Linked DNA regions of Tribolium castaneum. The protein of the gene in region 1 binds, or shares a complex with, the protein of each later gene. Links are inferred from orthologs where the notes say so. Each region holds a gene or a part of one and is shown in the gene's direction. Other genes may lie near its edges.

Region 1 (7,319 bases):
CTAAATTAACAAAAAACAATGCATTCGATTTCTGCTTTGTTTTGGCAAATCTTCTAATTTAGTACGTCACTGAAAAAAAACAGAAAATTTCAAACCTAATTTATCAACAATTCTCCAGTTTCATCTGGCAGCAATTTTTTAACTGTCTCGCTGAAAAATAAAATCGTACATTTCTGTTAATTTATGAATTTTCTTTTTTGTAGAATAGCTAACATGTATCTTTTTACAACTTTTCGGTTTTAAATCTGCAAGCATTTTTAAAATTTAATAATTTTCCGTTACCCACGTAATGAACTTAGTGCCTTGATAAATAAGTAACTATTGTTTTTTTTATTTTTTACCTCAAACATGACCGCGATCAAATGCAGAACCTGATGCCACACACTATGGTACTGGTACCCAAGACCAGCTTCAACACAACTGAAACACTTGTTAATTTTCGAGCTAAACTGTTCCACTTGTTCTTTAATAGCACAAGCTGGACCAACAGCATCTTTGAGTAAATTTTCCAAGGCATGAGTGGCTGCAGTCATAATTTCGCTTTTTTCCGACAGCCACAACTGACTTATTGTTGCGAAAATTTTCGGTAACGCTGCACACGATGCGGCCAAATCAACACTAGAAAAAATTTAAAATAAAAAAAAATAAAAAGTTGGGGGAAACACCGACTCGGCCAAATGCACATGCGCTTGCTGCATCACAGCCAACCAGGCTAAAGTCGGCTGGACATCACCTGCAGCCGGCTGGTATTCGTACAACGCTGAAATTAACTGGGCGTTCAATTTTGGGGGAACCACAGCCGTTTGGGCCGAAAAAAGCGCATGGAGCACCTGTAGGCCACATGACGTGACGATTGGGTAGTTTAGAGTCATCAATCTTAAAATAATCTCGCAACATTTCTAAAAAAAAAAAAAAAATCGTATTATCGTCGCAGCTAAAAAAACAACTGTACCTTCATGTGCGACTTTGAAAAACTACAAATTGTGTCTTTCAACAACCCCAGAGTGTGTAAAATGGTCGTCTGACCTGCCTGTATTGAAGAAACTAAAATAGCGCCCGAATTACCTCCCATACAAGTGTCTAAAGTTTGCTCGCAAAATTCGGCGATTTTATCAGCCGCAATATTCGTGTTAGTTGAGGTGAAATAGTCAGATTTTACGACTAAAATTACAGCTTGTTGGGCTGCTTTACGCCACTAAAAATCACAAATTAGGGACAGTTTTTACGATTTTTCAGAGGTGGATTAAGGGCCTGCGAACCTGTTTTTTATTAAAATTGTATTATTATATATTTTTATTTTTTTATTATATATTATATATATTTTTGCTGTATTTCAAAAACAAATAACGACACAAAAAACCAGGGTTTACGATTGGATAACTTTTTTCCTAAGCATGATTTTTTTTATTTATCGACAATTCTTTATATAATTAAAATTAATAAATTATTATGGAGAGGATGAAAAAAATTAACGATGCTCGAATGTTGAAAAAGTCCCGTTAAAGTTTGTCGACCATTTTCAAGTAAATGGCAACTTAATTCAATTAAACGTGCTGCCATTTAATTGCCAAAAATATTTTTTATTTTAATTAACTAATTAAGTAATTAAAATAAAAAAAAATCTGTGAGATTAATTTTTGAAACGTAGTAGAAATATATTTTTGGACCCCAGTCCACTTAATCCACCTCAGGTGTGCCTCACTTTTGGTTTCGTATGAAGACAAAAGGGGTTCAACATCGAGGTAAAAATCTTAACCGTTGCTTCGTTAGTCCAAACAATCAATTCCTGTTTCCTCAGAAGCGTCCCCAAAATCCCAAAAATCGACTTAACGATCGTATTATTATCAGAATCGACGTAATCATTAAGAATGTGCAAAACTTTCGCCGATAAATCGCTAAAAGTCCGGCGTAAAACCGGCTCTGGCACCGTCTTGATCCCCATATTCAGCAAAGCCAACGCCGCCGTCAACTGCTCCTCACTGCGCTCCTCCCCCTCATACACACGTTCAAGTGCAGTTATCAGCGAACAATAATATTCAGTGGCCGTCTCAGAGCCCCCGTTTTCCCTAATCACCTCGCTAATCGCCGCAAGCATCGCCAGCATCTCCTTATGCAGGGCGGAATCGGCCCGGAAGACTTTCAAAAAGCGGGTGAACGACATGTTGCTGTAACTCGACCATTCGGACGCAAACGATTCCATGGTTTTGTACGAGGAGTAGGTGCCAACTGACGACTCCACATCCTCGTCCACGCCCATGGGCTCTGGGTCCGGCCGCGGCTTGAAGGCCTGAACTGCATCGTGTTTGCGCAAAGCCTCAGACGTTAAACCGCTCGAGCCCAGATTTTCTTGAAAGAAACGCGATTTGGCCAAATCACGGTACTTGTGCGTCTCGGGGTTCGAGCTCGAGCTCTGGCCCTTCGGCCACCGCTTGCCCTTGGCCTGGCCCTTCAGCTTGGACCGGAACTTCCCCATTTTTGCTAAAGGAAAACAGATCAAAAAAACATAACCTCACTTAACGACACGTGCCGTTTTTTATCGACTGGTGCAAATCTACGCATTGTATTGACAAAAAGCAGAAAAAACTTACGTTTTTCCACTTATTAACAGCAATTGGTTTTAGATAATGTTGATATTTACACAAAAAAAAACTTATTTAAACTTGATAGTTGACATTTAACTTTGCCACACGTGGTGGGTTTCACTTTCACCAACCGTGAAATAAAAAAATTACAAGAAAGTTCAAATTAAATTAATTTGGCCCAATATTTCGACTCATTATTCCTTTTTGATTGTTTCAAATGCCACACGGGGTGGAACGCCACACCTGGAAAATATCTGAGCGTTGGTTTTGCCCCCAAAAACCGGGCAGTGATTTTAGCTAGTCCCCAGATATTGGTGCCAGTTTTTGGCGGGATACCATTTAAATGTGAGGTTAAGTGAGTTAAGTTTTAACTAAACACTGTAAATTGTGAATTTTCGCCATGGATTTCACGTCGTATCGCCGCACGGTGCGAAAAGCCACCGCCGAGGAGCCCCTCTCCGAGCTGTACCCCCACGACGTGAGCATGTACCGCGAAAGCCCCAAAAGCGAGATTTCCATCCTGGAATTCGAGCAAATCGCCCTGGACCGGCTCAAATTGCTGCGAATTATCGAGCAAGCGGCCCCCAAAGGCAACCGGTTGTACAGCGACCAGTGGAAGACGTGCATTAAGGACGACTTGGCCAAGGCAGGGTTGAAAAAATACGTGCGCTTGATGGGGGGCACCAGTGGCACGAGCGACTTGGATTACCAAGCCCGCAAGGCCGATTACCTCTCACACTTTATCCTCCGGCTGGCGTATTGCCGCTCGGAGCAATTGCGACGGTGGTTTTTGAGCAGGGAACTCGAGTGGTTTTGGATTCGTTTCACGGCTCAGTCGCGCGAGGGGGTCAAGAATTTTTTACGAATTTATAAATTCTCATATACTCCTATTTCGGAGGAGGAGAAGGTTTCGCTAAGGCATGAACTGGAGGCGTCAACTGCGGGGTTGATTCTGTTCGAGGAGACTGAATTTTTTAAAGTGCCTTTTACTGAAGTTTGCTCGTTGGTGAGGGGCCGGAAAGTGTTTCTTAAGGCTGGGTTTGCCTATATTCCGTCCAGCGAGCTGGTGGTCTGCATCCAGTCGAAGTTCAGGGCTGAATTAAGCGAAGAGCTAACTGTAAGTCTAGTTATATAAAAACATATATAACGAAATAAGCCCAATTTTAGTCATTTTCAGAGAAATTATAAACGTATCTTAAAAATATTCTGCTATAAATGCTATAAGAATTTTGTTATAAGTACCGAAAATTTATTATTAACTGAAACCTATTTTTTCTACAATAACAATAAAACATCAAACGGAATTTTTTTTTTAAAACGTTTAACATTTGCACTCTGACAGGTTTGAAATCCAGCAGTTTAATTTAAAAATACTGTGATGTATGGTTTGAGATCGACTGCATATTTTATTTATTTTTATGGACTTACTATTTCGTTTTAAAACTGAGCACCCCAATAAAAACGTGGTCAAGAGTGCTTTGTAAATTTCAGCAACAATTGGTAGTTACCTATGAAATTTTCACAGCACGCGTGACTACGATTTTTATTTCGACACACGCCACCTTGACCGTTTAACAATTTGTGATTTTGATGTTTAAACATTTAATTCCTGCTATTTTAGAAAAAAATCATATTTAGACAAGTGTTATAAAGCTTGTGGAACCAAAATTAATAACCAAATTTTTTCTTATATTCTATTTTACGTAAGATGATTTTTTTATATTTTATTGTAAAACGAAATGGGCGCTTATGTTCTCAACTATTGAAGGCACTCGCTCGCTACGCTCGTCGTGCTCTAAAATAACTCCAATTCGAAACTTTCAGTGGTACAGCCACCGCATCCACCTTTTCGACGACGAGCGTATTGGGCCCCTTTTGTCCAATTTCCACAATTTGCACACGGGCCAAAATTACCGAGTCCGTGAAAACCACGAAAGTGTCGATCCAGCAGATCTGGACACATATGCTAAAAAACACTTCCCTCTCTGCATGAAACACATGCATGAGGTTTTGCGGTCTGAACACCACCATAAACACCAAGGCCGTCTAACTTACGGTCTTTTCTTGAAAGCTATCGGGCTTTTGTACGAAGATGCGCTCAAATTTTGGAGGGATGAGTTCACGAAAAAAATGGATTTGAATCAGTTTGAGAAGGGTTACGTTTACAATATCAAACACATGTATGGGTTGGTGGGGAAAAGGGCCAGTTATTCGCCCTACAGTTGTGTTAAAATTATTACGAGTAGTGTGGGGCCTGGGGAGCACCATGGCTGTCCGTTTAAGCACTGGGATGTTAATCTTGTTAAGCAGAAAGTTATCGAATGTGGTGTGAGCGTTGATGGTAAGTTGGCTTACTTTTTTATTTAAATGAAGTACTTTTTGTACCTATTACAGGTGCTAATGAAATCAAGCAGCTTGTTTCTGATGGTCATTATCAACTAGCTTGTGGAAAATATTTCGAATACACTCACGGAAAAGCGCTGGGAAATGGAATTAATCACCCTAATCAGTATTTTGAAGAGAGCATGAATATTGAAAAAGGAGCTTCAGGCAATAAGAAATAATATCTGTTACTACAATTAAACGTTATTTTTTAATAATTTATTTTATATTTACCCTTCAGTCTAAATTGCATCCGTTTTTTTAATTTGGTTTTAATAAAGTCCCAAAGACTTTAATTGTTGATACATGCTTTCACGTTGTATTTTATAGTTAAATAAATATTTTGGAGAATAATAATTGTGTTTCGTGACTTCAATGGCCCAAAAATTCCATTCAAATAAATTTTATTAACACATCGTACACAAAAGATTACATTCGTAATAAAGTGTCAAAAACATATTGTAATCTAGAGTTTAAGCTATCTCTACTAAAATAACTTTGGTAAATAAAACTGAGTCATTCAATTGTTTGACCTAACAACTGTACGTTTCTTTGGCTAATACTTGAAGCCCGTGCTGAAACTCTAGATTAACGCCTAGTATTAAAAAATAGCTAAATCGGTTATCAAATAAAACATGAGCGGGTTATAATACAAGTCAACAAGACTACTGTTTTCATCCCTCTAAACATATGTATAAAAATCGAAAATATCACAATGTCGTTTTGAAGGTCTGAAATAAATTAGTGCCGTGTTTTTCGTACCATCGGGAGCCAATTTTAAGCAAAATGAGCAGTTTTTGGTCCTCTTGAAACATGATGTAGTTTGCCTTGGACTCATCATACAGAGAATACAATAATCTATGACACGTAACATTGAACACTTGACTTTAAAGCTATAGGATACAATTAATAGGCCTGTTAACATAGAGAAAAGCAAATTAAATAATAATACATTTTCCAAGCTTGCTGAGCTTCCGCCGCTTTTGCTTCTCGTGGTCGGGCTGCGGCTGATTCCTTATAATGCGCACAACCTGGAAACAACACCGAAATTTATGGTGTTGGCACATTTTTTTTAAATCTACACTTTTATAAGTACAGAACAGTGAGGAACACAAAATTTAAGTAAATAAAGAATACCAGGAACATGAACGAAATTGTGAACATTAAAAACAAAACAAAATAAAATAATTAAAAATAAAAGAAGTTGTAGAAACTGGGACAAATTCCGTACCGGTAATAGTTTTTGTAAACGTTGAGAAGATAATAAATGTGAAAGCAGGAGTCATAAAAAGATGCAATATGTAAATACGTACAAGTGTGCTTAAGATTCTACAATTTTTAGCAAGGAAGTGAAAAAAATGCAAAATAATCGAACTTGTAGTCTTTTTCCAATTTGCTAATTTTTTTAAATAATAAGTTTTGGTAAAAATGGAATATATTGCACATATTTGTACCGAAAAAACTAAAAATTATGAAATGAAATTAAAAGCACCAGCTTAGAAAACTACATTTAAAACTATTTAATTATTTTTTTTACTTTTGAAACCGGTGCATACATAAAAATTCTATATTACTTCCCGCTTTTAAAAAATTAAAAAGATGCCTCTTACAAAATAAAGAACGATAAAACCCTTTGTAAAAAATTATTAAAACTGTTTTATTTTATTCTTTCTAAATAATTTATATAGCCAATTAATGTTAAGTCTTTCAATAACGATTATGTGTGTCACCTTTGCAAGTTTCGCTATATCTTTCTAGAATACGTTTTTAAAATGAAAAAATATCGATGGATTGTTGTCATTTCCGACCAAATTTGGTGATTTTTCGTTCTAATTTAATAAAAATAGGGGAAAACTTAAAAAAAACTTAATTTTTGTTCTTAAAACGTGTTTAAATCCTCAGAACCTGCAAAAATAATCTTATTTTTGACATAATTCTGCTTTACTTTTTAAGAAATTTTGCGCAATAATTGAGTTTTCACTGAATAAACGCTTAGAAAAGGTAAATTTTTGGTCATTTCCGACCAAATTTGGTGATTTTTTCGTTCTAGTTTAATAAAAAAAGGAAAAAAACTTGATTTTTGATCTAAAACGTGTTTAAATCTTCAGAACTTGCCAAAATAATGTCATTTTTGACATATTTCTGTGATTTATTGGCTTACTTTTTAGGAAATCTTGTACAATAATTGAATTTTTACTGAATAAACGCTTAGAAAAGGTAAATTTTTGGTCATTTTAGACCAAATTTGATGATTTTTTCGTTCTAGTTTAATAAAAACAATGAAACAAACTTGATTTTCGGCCTAAAAACGTGTTTAAATCCTCAAAACTTGCAAAAATAATGTCATTTTTGACA
Region 2 (7,225 bases), about 2.0 Mb from region 1:
AAGTGCTGAAAGGTAAATTACTGAAACTAATTAATTTTATCTTTGCTATAATTAATTTGATTGAATTTATAATTACATAAACATGATTTATTTAAAATAAGTCAAGGTCAAATGTGCATTATCAGTTGCATCCGATAAATAAAAATAATACAAAAACTTTTTTTGTTAATGTCGGCCACTATTAATTCACTCTTGCATCGCTGGTTGCGTGTCATAGTAATAATTTACTCGTTTTTGCCTTTAAAGCTCTTTATTAATAGTGCAAAAACACTTATTACATTATTTGATGGTGTGTTTTTTAGCCTATTGTTACAACAATTATTTTTTTTTATTTTTGGCTAAAATTATGATGGTCACGTCAAAAAATATTTTTCTTTTGCTGTAGTAAAGAAAACTTCTAGAGTTTTTAAAATTGTAAGAATACGTTAAGAAGTTTTATTTAAAAAAAAAACTGTTTCAACTTTTGTAATAATTTTGATCGATTTCCGGTACCCGGAACATTTATCGAGTTATAACCCTGGAACTATTGGACGCAACTTTATTGAGTTTATTATCGTTGGAAAGCTCTTTTAATTATCTATCTTTTTCTCGGACATTGCTCATAAAAACAAAAATTGGTGAAAATAAAAAAATCTAAAAAATTATTTGGTATTTTGCGTTTTTTTTGACGCCAGTTAATTTTTTAGATCATTTTACAAAAATAGTTTTACTTTTTTGAATAGTTTAGCTGTAATTGAAAAAATATAAAGAGAGTGTCTCCGAAGAATTTAATTTCTGGTCGACTGTACTTATAACTGGTTGCATAACCTCCACCTTATGTAATAACATAAACACGGAAGAGCCAATAAAACCTTTCAGCTGTTATTTTTTCAAGGTTTTTCTAATTTATTCTCATGTTGAACAAACTCACGAGTGGTCTAAGACTGGTACTTTTCCGTGAGTAAATCTCCGTTTTTTTTTAATGTCTGTCGTTGTAGCTTCGCATTTTTAACAAAATTCTTGACAATACTTGTCAGCAATTCCATTCTGCGTTATTTTATACAAAAATGGGCTCGCAACTGTATTTGAAGCTCCCAAGTGGGCAAAAACTGCCGGCTTTGGGCCTAGGGACTTGGGAGGTGGGTTATTGGCATCAAATTTTTTTTATTTCATTTTTTATCAATCAGGCGATAAGCGATGAAGAAATCGAAACTGCGGTCAACAACGCCCTAGATTTAGACTATCGGCACATTGACACAGCTTGGGTTTATGAAAATGAGGCGGCGATTGGGAAAGTGTTGAAAAAACGCTTTGCTTCCGGCTTGAAAAGACAGGACGTTTTTATTACGACTAAACTTCCGATGACGGGGGTTCACCCAGACAGGGTTGACATGTTTATAAAAAAGTCATTGACGAATTTGCAATTGGATTACGTCGATTTGTACTTGATTCATTTCCCCGTTGGTTGTACTTATTACGAGGGGGAAGCACGGCCCAGATTTAACGATAAAGGGGAGATTGAGACTGAGGGAAAGACCGACCACGTCGCCCTGTGGAAGGTTTGAAAAAAAATAACTTAACACAAAAAACGCTTTATCAATTACCGAATTACCACCGTTTTACCAGAATAAAATAGTGGGCTATTTGATGCGCTCACTCGCTATTGCTCGTTCGTGCTTTAAACAGTATTAATTATGAACGAATTAACACAACTTGTAGCTATTTTTTGCCCATTGTTGTAAATTTTGTAGAAAATGGAAGAGCAGGTTGATGCCGGAAGGGCCAAAAATATCGGTTTATCAAACTACAACATTTCTCAAATTGAAACCGTGCTAAAAAACGCAAAAATTAAACCCGCCGCACTTCAAGTCGAACTCCACGTCTATTTGCAACAACGCGAACTTGTAGAATTTTGTCAAAAAAACGGAATTGCTGTTATTGCCTACTCTCCTTTGGGGAATCCCGGCATGAACAAGTTTTTGCAAAAAATGGGCCAACAGTACGATTTTTGCGCCCTTTTTTTCATTTCTAGACACTTTTTTGCAGACCCAGACAGTTGGCAAATATTTTGGAAGATGCAAAAATTAGTGAGATTGCAAAAAAACACAAAAAAACACCAGCTCAAGTGGCGTTACGTTTCTTGATTCAGAGGGGCATTGCGGTTATTCCTAAAAGTGTAACGCCGAAACGAATCGATGAAAATCGAAAATTGTTCGATTTTGTGTTGAGTGACGATGAGATGAAAACTTTGTATGGTTTAAATGTGGGGGAGGCGGCCAGAGTTTGCGATTTTAAGGTCTTTGGAGGGTAAAGAATAATCACAGAGTCAGTTTTTAGCCTTACTTTGGTTATTTTAGACTTGATAAACACCCCGATTTCCCGTTCGCACAAAAATGAGCTTTTTTAATTGAAACATTACAATGTGACCGGATGTTGGTTGCATAACCCATGATATAAAATGATTATGTTGTATTTTACCCTTTACTTAATAAATAATCAAATAAATAGCAAATTCATGTTTTTACACACTGATGATATCGATCATTATGCAACGAAATTTAAATAAAAAAATAAATGACGTAATGTTGGTTGCATAAGCTCGCAACCAATTGCGACACAACCTCACTTTTTTTGGCGGGAAAAGTTGTCACTGTGTTTTGCGTGATGAGTGCCTCTTTGTACAATGAAGACAGCCTCCCTGACCTGCTCCCCATCTACTACAAGCGTCTGTTCCCCCATACAGCGCTCCACAAATGGCTTTGCTACGGTAAGTTGCCTCCAAGCTCGATTTTGGTCAAGTGAGCCCCTCAGGTGACCCCAACGTGTCCAACCGGCGCGAAATTTCGTTCACTCTAGTCGGAGACATTTACCTCCGTTACCAGAGTTTCGAAAATGCGGAGGACTTTGCCCAAGCGCTCCATAAACGCTTCCCGGTTAAAATCGATATTGGGGCTATTTACAAGCAGCGACTTGAGTCGTCTGGAAGTTACTCTAGCTCCAAAACACCAGTCGAGCGAGAGATTGTGTTTGATATCGATATGACTGATTATGATGATGTTCGGACTTGTTGTACGGGAGCTGGGGTGTGCCCCAAATGCTGGAAGTTTATGGTGATTGCGTGCAAGATTTTGGATGGGGCTTTACGGGAGGACTTCGGTTTTGAGAACATTTTATGGGTGTTTTCGGGTCGGAGAGGCATCCATTGTTGGGTGGCTGATAAAAAGGCCCGGATCTTGGATGATAATCAACGGTCGGCTATTGCTGAATATTTGACTTTGTTGCGAGGGGGCCTTGTGGTACGAAAAGTCAAGTTTTTCAACATGCATGCGGCCACTGAGTAATTATCTCCTCATTTTTGCTCCCAAGTTGTGTAATAATTGGTTAATTCAAGGAGGGCCTTAAAAGTCATTGATGAATATTTCGAAAAGTCGATTCTTGTCGAACAGGACATTTTAGGGACTTATGAGCGCTTGGACGCTTTTTTGGGCAACATTGACGAGGGTTTTAGTCCTTTGTTTCGAGACGCAATGACCAAAGTTCAGACTTCGGTCGAGCGCTGGAAGGCTTTTGTTAACACTTTTCAGACGTTACAAAGAGAGCAAAAAATACCAAAACACTACAGATACATGGTTGAGGAGATGAAATTTTACTATGCGTATCCGCGACTTGATATCAACGTCACCAAAAGCTTAAATCACTTGCTGAAAGCGCCGTTTTGCATTCACCCGAAAAGTGGCAAAGTTTCGGTGCCTTTTAAGCCCAAATTCATCGAGCATTTTGACCCAGATGCCGTACCCACAGTCAGGTAATTAACTGCCCGACACTGAAAATGTACCACTTTGAATACTATACAAGTGTTGCTGTTATACTTCTGCCCGAAACTGTGTCTTATTTTTTCACATTTTTTGCCCGATTTTTTACGGAAATATACAGGGTCTCTTTTTTGAGGCTGGCGAATATTTGTTTAAGTAATTTTGATTATAAAAGAATACATACATAGAAAAAAAAAATGGTTTCTGAGTGATTATTAGTGTTTGAGGTACAGTAAAAATGCACTAACTCTGTATAAAAAGTGGCACATTTTTTCCGGTGTGCAGTTTAGTATTCACAGAGCATTTTGCTTTCTTAACAAACACCGAGAAAAATGGTTTCTGAGTGATTATAAGAAGTGGCACATTTTGTGTGGCGTGCAGTTTATTCAGGAAGCATTTTAGCCAACTCTTGGACGAGATAAACACCTACGATGCCAAAACCAAAGCTCAGGAGAAAGATTTAGCGGAAAATTCCCAAACCAGTGTTAAAATAAAAGACTACAAGAAGACAAGTTTACTCAAATATGTTACAATTTTTTGCGAGTTTTTAAGAGGCTTGCAGGCTTCAGCTGCCCGAAACAGGGCCATAAAAAATGGTGATTTTTATTGCCTTGATGTAACGAACACAAATTAATTGTTTGAATTTCCAGGAACTGTAATGGAATATTAATTAGTTTACGTTTTTTATTACTCATTGTTACTGATTACGAAATAAATGAACATTTATAATTTTATCGTTTTATTTACCCTTACACACACAATATTTTTTCAAAAACGAATCACTAACACACCTAACAATGGCAAAATCTAGCCTTTTAATTTCACCATCGAGCTCAAAAACCTTATCAACATACGTAACAAACGCCTCAAAAACTGAATAGGGGTACGTTTGGACACTTATTAGTAATTTCTTGTAACCCGAACTCCAGGAAGCACTGGAACTTAACACTTTCCTCAACTCGTAACTCCGACACATTCGCTGATCAACAAACTCATTTACTTTATTCACAATAAAAAGTGAGGCGTTCCTCACAACTAAATCGTCAAGATTCGTCAAAACGAACCCATCACAGGGACAAGACCTATTCTCAATTTCCGAATCCAGACACGACTTTTCCGTAACATCCATAAAAAGCGACTCACACCTCGGACAACTCTGACTAGGTTTCGGGTCCTGATTCACCTGAGTCAGCACCATAATGTCTTGCAAAGTCATGTACAGATCAAACGGAGTGGTTAACTCGTTTTGCTTAAGTTTCAAAAACCTGAACTCTTCGGAATAAATCTCTTGGAATTTTTTCGGGACTAGAACATAAACGAAAGGCAGTTTTTCCTCCAACCAGCCCACATTTGTAAACTCGTTTTTCCCCTCACGCCTCCCTTGATCGCTCAGGAAGAACACGAACGTGTTCGCGAACACGCCTTTCCGGTTCAGGTGCCGGAAAAGTGCCCGGATCGAGTAGTCCAGCTTCGGGAAGGTTCCCACAGTTGCCGTTTTGATCCAGAAAAGGGCGAAACTTGGGTGGTTTTTGAACGTGACACTAAAGTCTTTGGCCAGGTCCAGGAGGCGTTCAAAGGGCGTTTCGCGGTCTGGACACGGGAACATTTTATTGAGTTCCACGGTTGGGTATTTTTCGTTTGCGATAAAATAGGGCCGGAAGTAGTAATCTGTGAGTTGTTTGTGGAAGGTGAAAGTTTTTGACCACACGTCATCTTCACCGAACGCTGTGGTGTAGTTGTATTTTTCGAACTCGGACCAAATTAAATCACACTCCATGGTTTTGCAACCGCTTAAAAGGGCCAAAATGTTGGTGAAAGTGTCGTCACTCACTTTCGCGTAGCCGTTCAAAGAAACCCACTTATTGTTCGACGTTAGATAATGACGGGTTTTTGGAAAATTCCGGATGAAACTTAGGCGCGAAATCTTGTCGATTCCTAGAATCAAGACACTGAAAGGTGGTGGCCAAATGTCGGAATTTTTGGTCGTTTTTTTGGCCGTGATCGCAGCATGGACTTGTTTGTATTGTACCGAACCAGTGTCACACTTGACCAAGACGAAGTCAGTGGCCAAAGTCACATTTTTCGTAAACTTCCGACATTTGGAAATTCTACAAAATTAATTAATTAAAAATTTGCCCCATTAACAAATTTCTTACTTGATGGTATCGTCGGGATTTACTCGGTCAAAGTTTCGTGAAATGTTCGAATAACAGCAGGAAACTTCGGGGTAAAACCCATTTTGTTGCTTGACGTGCAGAGTGGCCGTATTTTCGCTTTTTGTCACAAAAGTGAGGTAGTTTTTTCGGTTGCACGGTGTGTATTTCTTGGGGATTGAGTACATGAATTGTTGGAAATACATTTGGGAGAAGTCCGGAATCAAACACTTGTTGTTAGAGACAAGTGCTGGGACTGCAATTTTGTTTAGTAGTTGGAGAAATGCAGGCACTTTTCTTACTCGGAACGTGGTGTTTGGCGTCTTCGATATGTATCAGAGATATTGTGGTGGTGGTTCTGTTGTAGAAAAATAAGGGGGTGAAGCACATTAGGGAGATACTAGCCACCAGGAATATTTCAAACACAATTTTGTTTTTGTGGATTCGGAGAGGCATTTTGACGAGCTTTGACGTCGCAAGTAATGCGATTTTATTCGTAGTTGTCAGGGTTTTCTGTCTCTAAGGGAAAAATCGAAAAAAATCAACATTCAACTATTTTCAACTTTATCATTTATTTTAGAAATTAGAGTTCAAGTGTAGAAATGAGGCGTCCAGAATCGAAGTTTTTAATTTCTGGTTACAATCTTTTCGACTTTTTCGTAGAAAGTTAAAGTACCGACGTTATCGGCGTGAAAACATGACACCTTGAAGATAGTCTAGATCTTATGATTAATTATTTTGATAAAATGTAATTTTCACACAGTTATTACGGCGAAATTAGATAAGTTGGGACTAAACATCCGGCGGATTAATTATTTTTTCGATTATTTCTTATAATTTAGCAGAATCTATAAGATTGCATCCGTTTGGAAAATTTTGATTATTTTTAAACTATTTGTTTTATCAGCGGCAATGGCAATCCTAATTGTTACTCATTAGCGTGTTATAAAACAATTCGCATAGAACACAACGTCCCTTTTTCGCATTTATGGACCCGGAAATAATGAGCAAACAGTTTCCCAATCGGCATTTTCAACAGAAGCAATTGAGAAATTTGTGGAAAACCTTTGATAATTCTAGCAAATTAACAACAATAACATTCGAAAAGTCCACAAAACTTCAGCTTGAACTTATTAGTAGCAATTTTCGCATTTTTGGAAATATTATTTACTTGCCTGCAATGTGAGCACAATTCACTCTCGCAACTCCACTTGTATTAATCATTAAAATCACGCAAAATATAACACGAAAGTAATAAACATTGAATGTTTTGGATTTTTC
Region 3 (7,390 bases), on another chromosome or scaffold:
GGTTTCGCAAGTGCGAGCACTTTGTGTCGACACATGAAAGTACATGATGGCGCAAAACGGCATTTGTGTAGTGAGTGTGGCAAAGGTTTTGCGAGATCGGATGATCTTACAAGACATATAAGAACACACACTGGTGAAAAGCCTTTTCCTTGTAAATTATGCGGCAAATCGTTTGCTCAATCTTTTCGTCTGTTGGAGCATATGAGGGCGCATGCGAACGAAAAAAGTTTCATTTGTTCAGTTTGTGGCAAAGCCTTTTCACGTTATACGAGTTTGGCGGCGCATAATAAGACACATAGTGGCATAAAAAGCCACGCTTGTGGGGTTTGTGGCAAAAGGTAGCAAACCATGTGTAAAAATAATACTTTAATTTACGAAAAAAAAATTATAGGTTGTGTGGTTCTGGTTCTCTTGCAATGCATATGAAGACTCACACGGGCGTTAAAGACCACATTTGTCCTTACTGTGGCAAAGGTTTTACCACACCGAGTAATCTGACCATACATAAAAGGACGCACACAGGTTGGTTTACTTGCATTTATTTCCACCTCGCTTCATAGAAAATGATATTTTGCTCTCTAGTCTAAAGGTGCAAAATATATCTTTACCTCCCTAGAGAGATTTTTAGGAATTAGGGAGTAAAATATCATTTTCTATAAAGCGAGTTGCAAAAATAATATACACATTTTTCACAGAAGCAAAGTGAATTTCCTCTCTTGTGCAATTGCAAATATTATTTGTCCATTGTGTCTGTTTTTAGGTGAGCGTCCTTACGTTTGCAACGAATGTGGTAAAGGTTTTCCTGATCCGTCGAGACTCACAGTCCATGTGCGATCACACAGCGGCGAAAAGCCTTACGTTTGTAGCGTTTGTGGCCGTGGTTGTGTCAGTTCGTCTCAATTAAAAAAACACAGAAGAATACATACTGGCGAAAAGCCATACCAGTGCAATCTATGTCCAAAGGCATTTCCACGAAGCGAAGATTTACGCATTCATATAAAAACTCACACTGGGGATAGAAACCATATTTGTCCTTTTTGCAAAAAAGGCTTTTATCAGGCTTCAACTTTAAAAGTACACCTTAGAATACACACCGGGGAAAAACCGTACACTTGCAATATTTGTAATAAAGCTTTTTCGCAAACCGGGCCCCTATCCACGCACATGAAAACGCATTCATAGCGTACCTAAACTTTATTTATTTATTTACTAAACTTTACATTTCAGTGAGATTATATTGTATAAAGTAGCGTCTATTTAGTAGTTATACACATAGGAACACGTATTTAATAACTTGGGACTATGTTGGTGAAATATTATTATGTACTGCCTAAATAAATGCAATTTTAATAACAACTGACTTTTTTAATTTTCCCGCCAAAATTTTATCAGATGTTCAAATTACATAACCTCTGATTTCCAGAAAAATGTTTAAACAAAGCGTCAGTTTGTTCAAATTAGCAACAAATCATACGATTAGGTTAATAAAACCTCAGGTAATTAACCGTCTTGTGACGCTTTTTCGGTTTTAGACGTTTTTTGTACGGCAGTAAAAAATTAAGCGCTCCACCGGGGGCTTACGAAGGTGAAGGAAAAACAACCGTAAACATATTAAACAATGAGGACGAGGTGGGATTAATGATAAACGGCTTCAGTCAAGTATTATTCAATTCCGTGGCGTAATTACAAACTGATTGTTTAATTTCTAGGCGGGTTTTAGATTAAATAACGATTTGACGATTTTAGGCTCCGTTGTAATATTTCCAAAGTATACGTAACGTGTTATCGAACACAATTATACCAACGTTTTTTTAGATCAGTTCTTTCATGGAATGTTGGCGACATCAACGAAATTACAGATGAATCACTTTCGTTATTTACCATATTAGAACCCAAATTAGATATAATTGTTTTAGGAATAGGAGATCCACAAAAAGATTTCAGTTTCTATAAAAAAATTGTACCGTTTGCACGCAAACACAAATTAACATTTGAAATTCTTCCTACGGAACAAGCTTGTGCAACGTTTAATTTTTTAAGTTCTGAAGGAAGACATGTAGCTGGTGCGCTAATACCACCACAAACTGTCGTTACCACTGAGGATGATGTGCTGCAAACCAAATTAAGATACCAGAATTTGTACGAAAGAGAATAAAGGAATTTTGCCGAATTAGTTTTTTTTTTTTTTGAAAGAAACCGCCTAAATGAGCAGTGATGCCAGCACTAGATACCTATGTTTTTTCAATTAATTTTCACAGAAATTGTCCCAACAAGTTTTTATTTGGATTAAAGGTTTCATAAACTTTTCCCGCATGAACTATTTTTAAGATAAACACCAGTAGATAAACTAAAAAAATTTAATTCTGTAAATATGTCAGCCAACATAAAAACAAATAAAACACTACTATCATCTATCACGTTTGTGAGGTTAGAATTAAAGTTTTCCCGCCAAGTCAATGTGAATTTTTTATTTTTCTAAAAACCAGTAAATAGTTGTTTGTAGTGTTTTTCTAATAGTGATAATGGAAGACGATACCTGTGAGTCACAAGTAAATAATATTTAGTTAAAAACTAAGCGCATCTTTCGTTTTAGCCGAAAGAAGGCCCAAGAGGCAAAAGCGGGACTCCTCTTACAAAGCTAAAGCTTTCGAGAAATTTAAGCAATTGAAAAGTGGCCTCCGAAATAAATACGAAGTCGAAGAACTCGAAAATGTTTACGACACTGTTGATGAGAAAGAATACACCAAAAAAGTGTTAGATCGTCAGGATGACGACTGGATCGTTGATGATGGTATTTTTTTATGTTAAAACACTTCAGATTTTAATAGTAATTCGTTTAACAGACGGCAGTGGCTATGTAGAAGACGGTCGGGATATATTTGATGATGATTTGGATCATGCTTCAATAGCTGCAGCTTCTTCCAAGAAAAATAAGGGGGTTAAACGTAAGAAAAATGTGGCGGAAAATGCAGGTCGCGGGAACTTACAATACCTCATTTCGAATATGCCATCAAAAAAGAAAGAGGTCTGTTAATTTTTTACGATCAAAACGTAATATAGCTTAATGTGTGTTTAGGAAAAAAAGTTGGATCAGGATGATGATTTGGCGGAACTTTTACAAGAAATTAATGAAACTCCACGTGAATCCAAGGCCGCAACATCGAATTTTTCCCCACTGTCGGTAAAACAAGCTGAAAAAGATTACATGAGGAAATTAACTTCCATCAAAAAACCAGTAATAACTCTCAGCAGAACACCGAAAGCGAAACAACCACTTAAGATATCAACGGAGGAAAATCACGCAAAGCCGACTGAAGAAACGATTTTAACGGAAAATAAACTGGAGCCAGAAATAACTCAAGCGAGTTGTGAAGAAATTGCAGAAACTCAAGCGAGTTGTGAAGAAGTTGCTGAAACTCAATCTGATGGCTGTTTTGATGACGATTTGGATCTGTCCCAACTAGAAGAGTCTGAAGCAGAGCAATCCAAACCCCAAATTGAAGAAAAGCAAGATTTGTGGGAAAATATTGAAAGCGAAATGTTGAAAGAATGGTCCGTATCCCAAGACACCGAAACCACAATCGACTTGCAAAACTCCGACATTCCTCTCGTGAAAATCGACGACAAAAGCGTTTTCAGATTTTTTTGGTGGGACGCTTACGAAGACCCATTTATCAAACCGGGTGTTGTGGTTTTATTCGGCAAAACCTACCACACTCAAACGAAAACCCACGTGAGCTGTACCGTAATTATCCGTAACATCGACCGGCGGATTTTTTTCTTACCCAGAGTGGAAGAGGAAAAGTCCAAAAAGCCGGTCACGTCTCAGGACGTCTACGCCGAAATCAACGAACTGATGAAAACCAAAGGAATCAAAAATTTCAAAGCTCGACCCGTCACGAAAAAGTACGCTTTCGATCTTGAAGTTCCGTCAGAATCGGACTATGTCGAAGTTAGATATGCGGCCACAGATCCCCCAATTGATAAAACCACCAAAGGGCGGACGTTTTCGCGTGTTTTTGGGAGCGAGAGTTCATATCTCGAGATTTTTTTACTCGATCGTAAAATTAAAGGGCCCTGTTGGTTAAATATCGCGAATCCGATACCGGAATCGAATCCCTCGACTTGGTGCAAATTGCAAGTAAATTGTGACAAATTAACCGATGTTACAATATGTGAGGAGGCGATTGAACCGCCACCGTTGGTCGTCACTGCTCTTAACATGAGAAGAGCTTTCAATCCCAAGACGGGATTAAACGAAATCGTGATGTTGAGTCTTGTCACTAATGTTAGTTATTCCGTTGATAAACAAGCACCTACTGAAGCGTTCCAAAAGCACTGCTGTGGTAAGTTTGTCCGATAAATTTTTTCAATACAGTGCAACTCAGAAAATTTATCATCTGACGATATGAATCTTTTGCGAAACAACATAGTTGTGCAAATTTTGTAAGTTGATAGTAGAGCTCAAAAGAAGTGAAATTGTTTTTTGGCAAATTCTGAGAAAAATACTTTATATGATTCATGAAAAAAATGTTCTTTGGTAGGTTGATATGTTTAATACTTTTAATTTTTTCGTTAATTTGAAGAAATATATTTTTTAACTGGAGATATATCTAAATGAGGTGTACATTTTAATGCAAATAACATGTGTTAGTGTTAAATCAATTATAAACAAATAAATAATCTTTCAACTCTCTCCTGGAGAGAAACTTGGAATGTTATAAATAACAAAATTAGACACTTTTGCAATGATCGCCATAGAATAACAACGCGATAATTTAGGAAACCAAGCAGTGATACATTTTTCGAAACTGAAAACAAATAAAAGAGATTACAGCTTAAATGGTAAAGTTAAAAATGATTTTGTATAATGTATAGGTAAAAGGACGCTAAACTATTGTAACTGATAGATTATTAATATGCATTGTACATTATTTGAAATAACAGCGCAAAAACCCTTAGGAAAAACTGGAGCAGGCTTTCATTGTTAAGTCCAAAATTTGTTCTTTCGTTAATAACACAATAAAATTTATAGCTACGGCTTTAAAATAGAATACACTGTCTAATTATTTTCTGCCGGTGATAATTACAATCTTGAAAGGTTAATATAAGCACTTGTTCTTTAAAAATTCGCAAAGGTACAATTGAAGTAATACAATATAGGCTATTTTCCCTTAGAGTTTTGGTCCGCGAATAAATTTGGAATTAACAAAACTTTTAAACAAATATGAAATTTTAATTAAGCTTAGTTCTTTAATATCTTTTAAATTGAATTAAAATTTACAAACACAGCCTCAGAAACATGAGTCCCCTCATAAAAAATTATAAAAAAAATTGTATTGATTTTTTTTGGCAAAGATACCACCAAATTTCATTCACTTAAATGTCACTGCCTAATCATTATGTAAACTTTCGAATAAAGTAATTCTAATTCTCTGTGTCAAAGAAGAAAAAAATTGGTTGACATATTTTATCCTCTACCGGTTAAGTTGTTGCAAAAAAAATTATATTTTCTTGAATGGGTTTTTAATAAATACATAATAACTGATCTAATTTATTAAAAATGAAATAAAAGTAGTCTATAGTCAACAATATTACCGTTCTTTTCTCGTTTTATACCAAAATTACTACATTTTATAGAATAATTCATTCATATAATTAATAACAGGATTATTACATAAGCTCTTGATATACCACGTACTAAAAATATTCGAGAATTTACAGAAAAAGCAATTAATTTTGATGCTACTGATTATAATGTAGCATTTAGGGAATGTGTAAATACTTTGACTTCAAAATTTTTTAGTGTTTCACGTTACAAATAAGCCGCAAAACGATGTACGAAGCTGAGAACAGAAGAATCGAATTTTGTCATAGACAAAAAAGTACAATATAAAGTTATTATAGTTCGGCTAAAAAATTACACCATTATTATACCATTTTTTGGACAGACGAAGAAAAATATTATAATAATTGTTTCTTAAAATGTCGCTTCTTGTTTTAAAACATTTTTTATTTAATTAAATTAAATTAATTAAATGTGCACTTCACATCACATTGTATGTGATTTAAAAATTTAACATTTATTTTCCACTATGGAGCACAAAAAAAATAAAACAAAATAAATGCATTGTTATTGATTGCAATATGCATCTTTTTCCCTATTGTCTTTTTTTCAAATTTGAAATTAATTAAATTCATACGTATAGGAACGGCTCAGTCTACACAACTATCAAATACTTTGGTCAAAAGTTCGTTATAAGCGGCAAATTGCATCACACTTTAAATCAAATCTAGTCTGCTCCATCCACTGTATCTAATTTCCAATTTCAGTTTTTTACTGTCCGGACACCCAAGTCCTTTCATCTGACCTCTTCACTGTGATGCAAGACTGCAAGATAACAACTTTGCAAAAAATGCACTCGGAAAAGGCCCTTTTGAACTACTTCATCACACAATTTTCGAAACTAGACAGCGATATAGTGGTCGGTCACGACCTACAAGGCCACCAAATAAGCGTCCTTGCCGAACGAATGTTCCGTCATAAAATCCCAAACTTCAGTAAATTGGGCCGCATAAAAAAATCCACGTTTTCACGGCACAAAATCGAAAAAGAACTATTCGTCGGCCGACTCGTTTGCGATGTCAAAACCGCAGCGAAGGAATTGATCAGATGTCGATCGTACGATTTGGGGAGCTTGTGCCAGGCCGTTTTGAAAATCAAGGACGAACAACGAACCGATTTGGAGCCCGACGATGTGCTCAAAATGTTCAGAAGCAAAGAGGAACTCCTCAAACTTGTGTCCTTGACCATGCAGGACACAGCGTTCGTCCTCAAAATCATGTACAGTCTGAACATCATCCCCTTAGCGCTGCAGATTACGACCATTGCGGGCAACGTCATGTCGAAGACTTTGATGGGGGGGCGGTCAGAACGCAACGAATTTCTCCTCCTCCACGCCTTCTCCGAAAAAAATTACATTGTCCCAGATAAATCGTCGGGGAAGAAAGACTTCGGCGAGAAAACGGCCAACAAAAAGGCGACCTATTCGGGCGGCTTGGTCCTCGACCCGAAAATCGGCTTCTACGACAAATTCATCCTGCTAATGGACTTCAATTCGCTGTACCCCAGCATCATCCAAGAGTACAACATTTGCTTCACCACAATGCCGCCGAACCTAGCCGAGGACAACATGGTACTACCCGATGCAACTCTCCCGGCTGGAGTCCTCCCAACTGAGATAAAAAAGTTGGTGGAAAGTCGGCGCGCAGTCAAAAAGCTGATGAAAAGCGCGGACTTGAGCCCCGACCAGAGAATGCAATACGACATAAGACAAATGGCCCTAAAGCTCACCGCCAACAGCATGTACGGGTGTCTAGGTTTTGCCAA

Evidence for each region.
Region 2: Prim2 (region 1) and Prim1 share a complex: the UniProt entries of both Drosophila melanogaster proteins name them as parts of the alpha DNA polymerase complex. The link is inferred for Tribolium castaneum from reciprocal best matches to the Drosophila melanogaster genes Prim2 and Prim1.
Region 3: Prim2 (region 1) and PolA1 share a complex: the UniProt entries of both Drosophila melanogaster proteins name them as parts of the alpha DNA polymerase complex. The link is inferred for Tribolium castaneum from reciprocal best matches to the Drosophila melanogaster genes Prim2 and PolA1.

The regions. Positions count from the first base shown.
Region 1 is NC_087395.1:23,552,849-23,560,167, forward strand, and holds Prim2 (DNA primase large subunit), read left to right. Parts: upstream 1-2,749; 5' UTR 2,750-2,982; coding exon 2,983-3,699; intron 3,700-4,406; coding exon 4,407-4,923; intron 4,924-4,976; coding exon 4,977-5,146; 3' UTR 5,147-5,267; downstream 5,268-7,319. Other genes in the region: RRP12-like protein, read right to left, coding at 342-618, 670-899, 953-1,195, 1,703-2,473; ras-related protein M-Ras, read right to left, coding at 5,903-5,995. UniProt on the Drosophila melanogaster protein: Regulatory subunit of the DNA primase complex and component of the DNA polymerase alpha complex (also known as the alpha DNA polymerase-primase complex) which play an essential role in the initiation of DNA synthesis.
Region 2 is NC_087395.1:25,580,599-25,587,823, reverse strand, and holds Prim1 (DNA primase small subunit), read left to right. Parts: upstream 1-2,496; 5' UTR 2,497-2,643; coding exon 2,644-2,746; intron 2,747-2,790; coding exon 2,791-3,316; intron 3,317-3,370; coding exon 3,371-3,784; intron 3,785-4,193; coding exon 4,194-4,387; intron 4,388-4,441; coding exon 4,442-4,461; 3' UTR 4,462-4,520; downstream 4,521-7,225. Other genes in the region: aldo-keto reductase family 1 member B1, read left to right, coding at 894-926, 978-1,118, 1,167-1,538, 1,731-1,978, 2,026-2,286, 2,337-2,376; uncharacterized protein LOC659605, read right to left, coding at 4,531-5,899, 5,948-6,200, 6,247-6,400. UniProt on the Drosophila melanogaster protein: Catalytic subunit of the DNA primase complex and component of the DNA polymerase alpha complex (also known as the alpha DNA polymerase-primase complex) which play an essential role in the initiation of DNA synthesis.
Region 3 is NC_087398.1:9,862,085-9,869,474, forward strand, and holds the start of PolA1 (DNA polymerase alpha catalytic subunit), read left to right. Parts: upstream 1-2,385; 5' UTR 2,386-2,522; coding exon 2,523-2,538; intron 2,539-2,593; coding exon 2,594-2,791; intron 2,792-2,843; coding exon 2,844-3,025; intron 3,026-3,076; coding exon 3,077-4,346; intron 4,347-6,333; coding exon 6,334-7,390. Other genes in the region: zinc finger protein ZFP2, read left to right, coding at 1-338, 392-522, 761-1,182; NADH dehydrogenase [ubiquinone] 1 alpha subcomplex assembly factor 3, read left to right, coding at 1,428-1,480, 1,533-1,659, 1,710-1,768, 1,816-2,155. UniProt on the Drosophila melanogaster protein: Catalytic subunit of the DNA polymerase alpha complex (also known as the alpha DNA polymerase-primase complex) which plays an essential role in the initiation of DNA synthesis.